Linked DNA regions of Caenorhabditis elegans. The protein of the gene in region 1 interacts with the protein of each later gene in a pairwise test. Each region holds a gene or a part of one and is shown on either strand. Other genes may lie near its edges. The genes, in order: T28C6.3 and Y25C1A.7.

The links.
Region 2: the proteins of T28C6.3 (region 1) and Y25C1A.7 interact in a two-hybrid assay, tested with the Caenorhabditis elegans proteins (one large-scale study listed by BioGRID).

Annotation. Positions count from the first base shown.
Region 1 is NC_003282.8:8,818,635-8,821,901, forward strand, and holds T28C6.3 (uncharacterized protein), read left to right. Parts: upstream 1-1,706; 5' UTR 1,707-1,721; coding exon 1,722-1,774; intron 1,775-1,980; coding exon 1,981-2,530; 3' UTR 2,531-2,631; downstream 2,632-3,267. Other genes in the region: T28C6.10 (Transposase), read left to right, coding at 159-238, 281-455; T28C6.5 (RING-type domain-containing protein), read left to right, coding at 2,897-2,913, 3,020-3,267.
Region 2 is NC_003280.10:3,067,952-3,073,068, reverse strand, and holds the start of Y25C1A.7 (Yip1 domain-containing protein), read left to right. Parts: upstream 1-2,006; 5' UTR 2,007-2,031; coding exon 2,032-2,050; intron 2,051-2,119; exon of another isoform or gene 2,120-2,126; coding exon of another isoform or gene 2,127-2,175; intron 2,176-2,455; coding exon 2,456-2,526; intron 2,527-2,848; coding exon 2,849-2,995; intron 2,996-4,498; coding exon 4,499-4,697; intron 4,698-5,117. Other genes in the region: Y25C1A.8 (Zinc finger Ran-binding domain-containing protein 2), read left to right, coding at 1-189, 1,468-1,594.

The DNA.
Region 1 (3,267 bases):
TAGCAGTTGGTAATACCCAACGGTCTCTACGTCATCTATGTTATTCTAGCCTGCTGTCTGCCTACCTGTCTTCCTACTCATTTCCTATTCACCATTGTCTCCCTTAACCTCTTCCTAAAACTCAAAGCGGTTTCTTTTGACTTACTATTAGAAAAATTATGAGGCCGCAAAGAAATAGCAGAGAAGATCAACTACAGGAACAACTAAATAAAATCAAACGGGAATTGGACAACTACAAGTGAGTTGACATTGCGTTCAATGTTTAATGGGAAACTTCCAGACTTGAAAATTTTCTGTTGAAAGAAGAATTAATCATTTCTCAAAGTGCCATTCTGTTTGTGGACGATCAAAATAAGAAACTTGTGAAAAAGTGCCAAACTCTGAAGAAAAATGGAAAGCCTAAAAGAATGGGAATACTGGGATCTTTTACAAATTGGATTAAGTCTTTGTTTTGAAATTATACAGTTTTCTATATAACGTTAAATAAAATAAATTAATACATCCATTTGAAAAAATTGCTAACGAGTAAAAGTATTCGGTATAATGTTTGTGAAGTAAGCAGTTTTTCAATTCTATTTGCTACTGTTCAAAATCCGTAAATTTGTAAAACTGCGAGAATAAAAGGTATTTGAATTTTATTGTGCTTGCAAATAGTTCTAATTAGAAATGAAAAATCTTGTCCTTTTTTTTTTTGAAAATTCCAGATATGCGCGAAAATAAAGTTTTAAAACTTTCGCATCTATAATGCACTTTAGCTGTTCCTTGGATCATAAAAGTTAGCATATCTGATGCTCTGATTTTCTCTTGCATTATATTCCGGGATTACTGTGATTTCTTCTCACACTTTCAATATGTTATTCTCACCAGATTGCCATCAACCATTCCATCTAAAGAAGAAAAGAGCCTACTGCCGGCTGCTGACCTTCTCCATCTTTTCTCCCTCTGTATATCTCTAAACGTTCTCGTTGGTGCAAAGATGTTTGATTATCGACCCACCAAGAAGAACAAGGTGACCCGCACTCACTGCCCCAAGCCCTGTTCTTAATGATTTGCAAATAATTGCACATCACGCGGTCATCAACTCTCGCATACACGATCTCATTCATCTCAGTTTCGCGCATTATTTTGTATTAGTCGTAAAGTGCTAATGTTTATTGTTTTATTTTGGGTCTAATAAATATCCAAATAACAGATTAAAAAACCTCAACAGAGCAATTGATCAGAGAAACTTTTAACTTCACATAAATGTGTTAACTATTTATTTTTTTTAATTAAAATGTAGAAGTTCAAGAAGGAAACCTTTCTGTATAATCCGAACGTATAGGTAATTTTTTTTTGTTTCATCCACTTATGAAATTCTCTAATTATTTGTGTAAACATCTTACCGTTTTCGATCGAGGCTTAAAATCACATCTGCCACATCTTTTCTTTTTAAACAGAATCTGGTCTTTTTGGTTCTGTCTGTACGCCGTACAGGACACCTGTCCCATAATCTTGTATGTATGTTCATTAAAATTCTATTTGCATTTCCAATGCAATCCTATTTTTGTGTCACTCAGTATTTTTTGGGAATCTCTGGGTTTTGTTGTTCTAATTAGTACTCTCATCATAACTTTTTAGAAAAAAATCATTTTGCAAATATTTTGTATGCTTTGAATATTTTCTACTTCTTTTCCAATAGCTTTCAATTAAACTTAAAAAATTACAGAATCAAGTCAACAATGTCGAACATTTCTGAGACTGCCATAAAAAACAACAATAATCAGGAACTAGGGTTAGTATTTTTGCTATTAAATTTATATCTTTGCTGATCGATGGTCCATTTGCTATTTGGTGGTCCATAATTTAGATTTTTTTAATAATAGAACCAAAATTTTATGAATAAAGAATACTTTAAACAAACTTAGTAGAACTTGTAGCACACAAAAATAAGCACACAATTGTCGTGAAATGTACCTTACTATTGCATACAAATTTTAGTGGTGCCACAAAGAGAAACGAAAATGATGCCACTACGTTTACAATGCCAATAGGAATCCAAGAGAAATTGGAGATTTTAAAGAAGCAAGATGTCCAACTCCAAGAAGCTCTTGACATGGAGCTGAAGTTTCTGGACACCAACGAGAAATTATTTGTCAAGACTTTACATGATGCTCAAAAGTTCCACCAAGAGCCCACTACTTCGTTTGCAGACGAATTGGAGGAGAGTGTATTGTGCGAGTCAGAATCAGAATCCGATGCTTTGGATGAATCAGAGTCAGAAGACTCTGTAGTCAACGAATACGTGAAAGAGAGTGACGATGAAGAGGATGACGAGGACAAGGAAGAATATGAAGATGAAGAAGGCAAATCAATAATTGAAAAAGAAGCCCTCACAATCAGCCCCAACTCATGTAATTCAAAGCACACCAGAAACGTCACCAAAACGAGTCAAAGTTTTAACGTTTTGGTATGTATTCTGGTCTTGGGACTGTACATTGGATCGTGGCTGCTTTTTGGACTTCCAAAACAAGAATCCCGGGAACTCTAATTTCGTTTAATTGTTTTTTTGTTGATTTGTCACCTGAAGTTGTGTTTTCAAATGATTACAAAAATTTTTTGCACCAGTCACTTTTAAAGTTTTTATTGAAACAGCTTGCCAAGTAACACATTATTTTTGGGTGCTTAAATTCAATTGGAGGGAAATGGTATTTAAAATTTTTGAACCTCAAAAGCACACTAAAATACGTGTTTATTGTAACGTGATTGTTTTAAAAAAGGTTTTTCCACGTTTTCACATTTTTCAAAAAAAAATGGGAGGGGGAGGCAATTTGAATCAATTTTATTTCTCAATTTCCCTAATTCGTGTGTCGTTCGGAAGCGATTTGTTAAAAGAAAACAGAATCGATTCAAAGAAATGGGAGCAAATGGAATGTGAGTTTGGGTGTGAGTTGTCTTTTTAGTTTAATAAAATCTAATTTAAAACATCAGTATATCTAGAGAATCACAGTACCAAAAGCTACAAACATATCATTTTCAGAGATTCGGAAAAGTTTCGCAAGCAATTGTCTCATTTGTTCACAACTTCTTCTCCAAAATGCCCCAGTTTGTCAAAAAACTTTCGTGGTCGTCAGATATCAAAAGGCTTTGTCCCATCATTGTTACAATCTAATAATGCATTTGAAATCAATGTTAAAGACATCAAAATAACTACGTCAGTAACAATGGAAGGTGTTACTCATCATTACTCGGTTAGCTGGATGGATGTTGAGAAGGCTGAAAAAGATA
Region 2 (5,117 bases), on another chromosome or scaffold:
TTGCCCAGAAAGTGAAGATGAAAAGGAAAAAGATCGTCGAAAAATGCACAAAACATCACGAGAAAGGGATCGTGAAAGCCATCGGAAACGGAGCAACTCACCGAGAGATCGTGATAGAAAGAGAGGAAAAAGAAGTCGGAGTAGAAGCCGAGAAAGAAGTTATCGGGATGATCGGAGAGATCGCAAGAGGTGCGGAAATTTGCTGAAAATTGGCTGAAAAATCGCTGGAAATTCGTCGAAAATTACCCGAAAATTCACCGAAAATTGCCTAAAATTCGCTGAAAAATGGATGAAAATTCTCTAAAAAATGGCCTAAATTGGCTGGAAAATCGCTGAAAATTCGCCAAAAAATTACTTAAAAATGGCCGAATTTCGCTGAAAATTCGTCGAAATTGAATGAAATAAGAACTCCCTGAAAAATGGCTGAAAATTCGCCAAAAATTCGCCGAAAATTCCCCGAAAATTCGCCGAAAATTCCTCGAAAATTCGTCGAAAATTCCCCGAAAATTCGCTGAAAATTCACCGAAAATTGCCTAAAATTCGCTGAAAAATGGATGAAAATTCCCTGAAAATTTCCTGAGAATCCTTTGAAAATTCCCTAAAAATTCGCTAAAATACGCCAAAAATTCGCCGAAAATTCCCTGAAAATTTCCTGAAAATTCTTTGAAAATTCCCTAAAAATTCGCTAAAATACGCTGAAAATTCGCCAAAAAATGGCAGAAAATTGCCGAAAATTCGATGAAAATTCGTTGAAAAATCATTTAAATACGCCAAAAATTCGTTGAAAATTCGCTAAATTTAGCAGAAAATTCCCTGAAAATTCGTCGAAATTGTGCCTAAAAATGGAAGAAATTTGCTGAATATTGGCCGAAAATTGGCTGAAAATCGCCAGAAAATTAAAAAAAAATTTGCCAGTTTTTTGCTGTAAAATCAGATTTTTCGAGCTCAAAAATGCGAATTTTCATGAATTTTTTGCCATTTTTCCTGTAAGAAACCTTCGAAAATTGTGTAAATTTGCTAGAAATCAACGAAAAAAGTACAAAATAACTGCCGGAATTTTAAATTTTCAGCTCAAAATGTGAATTTTCTGAGAGTTTTTTAAAATTTTTTGAAGCGAAACCCTCGAAAATCGTGCAAATTTCCTAAAAAATCGACGAAAAAATACAAAAAAACTGCCGGAAAATCGATAAATTTGCCAAATTTTCGCTGAAAATTGCTCTAAAATTGGAATTTCGAGGTCAAAATGCGATTTTTCTTGAATTTTTCCAAATTTTCTCGGAAAAAACCGTCGAAAATCGTGCAAATTTCCTAAAAAATCGACGAAAAAATACAAAAAACTGCCGGAAAATCGATAAATTTGCCAAATTTTTGCTCAAAATTGCTTTAAAATGGGATTTTTAAGCTTAAAAATCGATTTTTTCCGCACTTTTCCCCGTTTCCAGCCAAAATTCCCCATTTTTTTTGCAGATCTCGTTCTCGCGAACGCCGCCGTTCCCCGCCACGTGGCACCACCAGTGATAGACGCCGAGACGACGAGAGACGCAGAGAAAAAGAGCGACGAAGAAGCCGATCGAGAGACAGATTTCGACGATAAAAACGCTAAATTTCGCCGTTTTTTCGCCATTTTTTCACAATTTTATTGATTTTTTCGCTCTAAAACCACCAGTTTTTCCGTTAAAAATTGCTAGTTTTTACCCAATTTTTCCATTATTTTATTGATTTTTTGCTTGAAAATTCTCCGTTTTTAACCGTTTTTTTTCCACTATTTTATTAATTTTTGTTGCTCAAAATCCCGATTTTTTCTCCGTTTTCTCTTGAAAAATCATCTCAAAATATCGAATTTCTCACGGTTTTTATCATATTTTTGTGAAAAATTTTTGAATTTTCTCTGTAATTTTATTGATTTTTCGCATTTTTCTGACTTTTTCCACACGGTTTCTAGCCGATTTTTATCTATTTTTACCTATTTTTTCTCGAAATTTTACAATTTTTAATATAATTTCTAGAAACCCAACAACGTGACAGCCCGAAATGGATTTAAACTTTCAAAGTGAGTTGGCAAAATTTTTTAAACAAAAAAATACAGTAGAAAATTGCGAAAAAAAATTTATTTTTCGATTTTAACAATGGCTCAACCAGCGCCGCCTTCGCAAAAATGGGAGGATGTTAATCTTGGTAACTAGGATTTTTAGCTCGAAAATTGGCGATTTTAAGCCGGAAATTTGGATTTTTCGGGCTTTTCCGGTCCTGAAGCCTGAAAATTTGGCGGAAATCGCATTTTTTTTCGCGAAAAAATTAGATTTTTGCTTTTTTTGGTGTAAAATCTAGGCTTGAACAAAGCTTTTTGTCCTGAAAATCCAGAAAATTCCGGTTTTTTCACTCTAAATTCACAAAATAAACGGGTTTTTTGGCCATAAAACCCTCCAAAAATCCTAAAAAAACCCAAAAATTGCAGATTTCGATAATGTGAACTCGACGAACGAGCAATCTGGAGCATTTGGTGGAAATATTGGCGATCGCAATATTGTGAGCATCTGGAAAAGCTGAAAAATCGATTTTTTGGACTATTTTCACTGAAAAAATCGATATTTTATTGATTTTTTAACCAAAAAATCGATAATTTGAATTTTTTTTTGTTAAATTTCACTAAAAAATCGATATTTTATTGATTTTTTACCGAAAAAATCGATATTTTATTGATTTTTCACTGGAAATGCTCAAAAAATCAATAAATAACCCATATTTACGTGAAAAAATTCAAAAAATCAATATTTAGTTGATTTTTCTGTGAAAATGTCCAAAAAGTCGATAATTTATTGATTTTTTGTCAATTTTTCGTAATTTTCAGCTCGTCGGCGGAAGTGTTGGAGCAACATCGTCAGCAGCTCCATCTGGCGGAGTTTTCGATGATTCCCAATCGACTACTTCCACCAGAAAGGGAAATTTCTTCTCTTTTGAATATTATCAACAGTTTTTCGATGTCGAAACTGATCAGGTAGAGGAAAAGCAACAAAAAACTGGAAAAATTGAGAAAAATTGCATTTTTCACCCGAAAATTCCAGAAAATTCGCGAAATTTTGATGGAAAATCGGTGAAGATTTTTTGAAAATTTGGATTTGTCAATAAATTATCGATTTTTCACGAAAAGCGCTGAAAATCTCGAAAAATTGTAGCTTTTTTTCGATGAAAAATCTCTGAAATTTTGGAATTTTCAACAAAGAGTTTTGACCTATTTTCCAGTGAATTTAAAACCAAAAAGCCGATTTTTTGCTAAAAATTGACCAAAAAACGGGATTTTTCATTAAAAGCCTGTGGAATTCGGATAAACACTCGTTTTTTACCCGGAAAAACCGTCAAAATTGCCGAATTTTCACCTATTTTCATCTATTTTTCAGCCGAAAAAGCCTAATTTTGCCCAATAAACAGGCTTCATCATGGAAAAAAAAACGCCTAAAATTCCGGAAAATTTGAATTTTTTCGGAAAAAACTCATTTTTACCCGGAAAAACCGTCAAAATTGCCGAATTTTCACCAATTTTCATCGATTTTTTGAAATTTTTCCCCCCTTGAAAAATCGATAATTAATCGATTTTTTTCAGAAAAATTGACAAAAAATTTGAATTTTTACCGAAAAACGCTGAAAATTAAAAAATATCTCGAAAAATCACTGATATTTTGCAATTTTCAACCAAAAAAACTGGGAAAAAACCTCAAAATTCTCGAATTTTCACCAATTTTCATCGATTTTTCGGGCCGAAAAGCCCTAATTTTTGCCAAAAAAGCAGGGGATTTTTCATGGAAAAAACGCGCCTAAAATTCCGGAAGATTTGAATTTTTTTCAGTTACAAACCACTGAAACTTGTGTATAAAAATTCCTTTTTTTGCTCTGAAAAACTGCCAAAAATTCGTCGAATTTCACCATTTTCCAGCGAATTTCCATTTAAAAAAAACGGGATTTTTCATTGAAAATGTGGGTAAAAATCTCTGAAATTCGGAAAAAAATTCATTTTTTCCCGGAAAAATCTCTCAAAATTGTCCAAAAACCACCAAAAAAATCATGGAAAATTTATGAAAAATGCTCGTTTTTTCACTGAAAACTGCTAAAATTTCGCGAAAATCCCCCGAAAAAATTGCTCAATTTGATTGATTTTTCAAATCAATTTTCCCCCTGAAAAATCGATAATTTATCGATTTTTTTTGCAGGTTATCAAACGTCTGCTCATTTAAAATTTTCGTTTAAAATTCGCTGAAATTCGTCGAAATTGTGCCTAAAAATCGCTGAAAATTCTCTAAAAAATGGATGAAATTCGCCAAAAATTCACTAAAATCCGCTGAAAATTCCCTGGAAAATGGCCGAAAATTCGCTAAAAATTCGAAATTAAAATAAAATAAAATTTTTATTAAATTATTAAAATAAATTATTAAAATAAAAATAAAATAAAATTTTCATCAATTTCCCCCCCCCTGAAAAATCGATAATTTATCGATTTTTTTTGCAGGTTATCAAACGTCTGCTCAACAGTGTCATTCCAACCCATCGTAACTATATTCAAGACTTTTTGCAACCAATTCCCGACCTTTGGGGACCATTTTGGGTGTCTGTAACTCTTGTTTTCGCTATCGGAATTTTTGGAAATTTGGCACAATTTATCGAAAATGACGGAGCCAAGGGGACGTATGGATCCGATTTTCGAATGGGTACGGAAATTGGACAATTTCCGACGAAAATCTGGAAAAACTGGAAAAATTGTGGCAAAATTTGGAAAATTTGGATTTTTTTGCACTAAAACTGCAAAAATCGATGATTTTTCCGCCCCAAAAATGTGTCGTTTTGTGGTTTTTTTTTGTTGCGATTTTCCACTGAAAATGGAGCAAATTTGCTTACATTTTTTTCTGAAAATATCGATTTTTTCCCTATTTTTGGGAATTTATCGATTTTTTAAAATTTTGAGAAATATCGATTTTTTAAAAAATTTTTTAGAAAAAATCGATTTTTCAGTTTTTTTGAGAGATTATCGATTTTTTTCAAATTTATTCAAAAATTATATTTTTCCTAATTTTTTGTGAAATTATTGATTTTTTTTTTCTAATTGGAAATTGTCCCGAAAATCTGGAAAA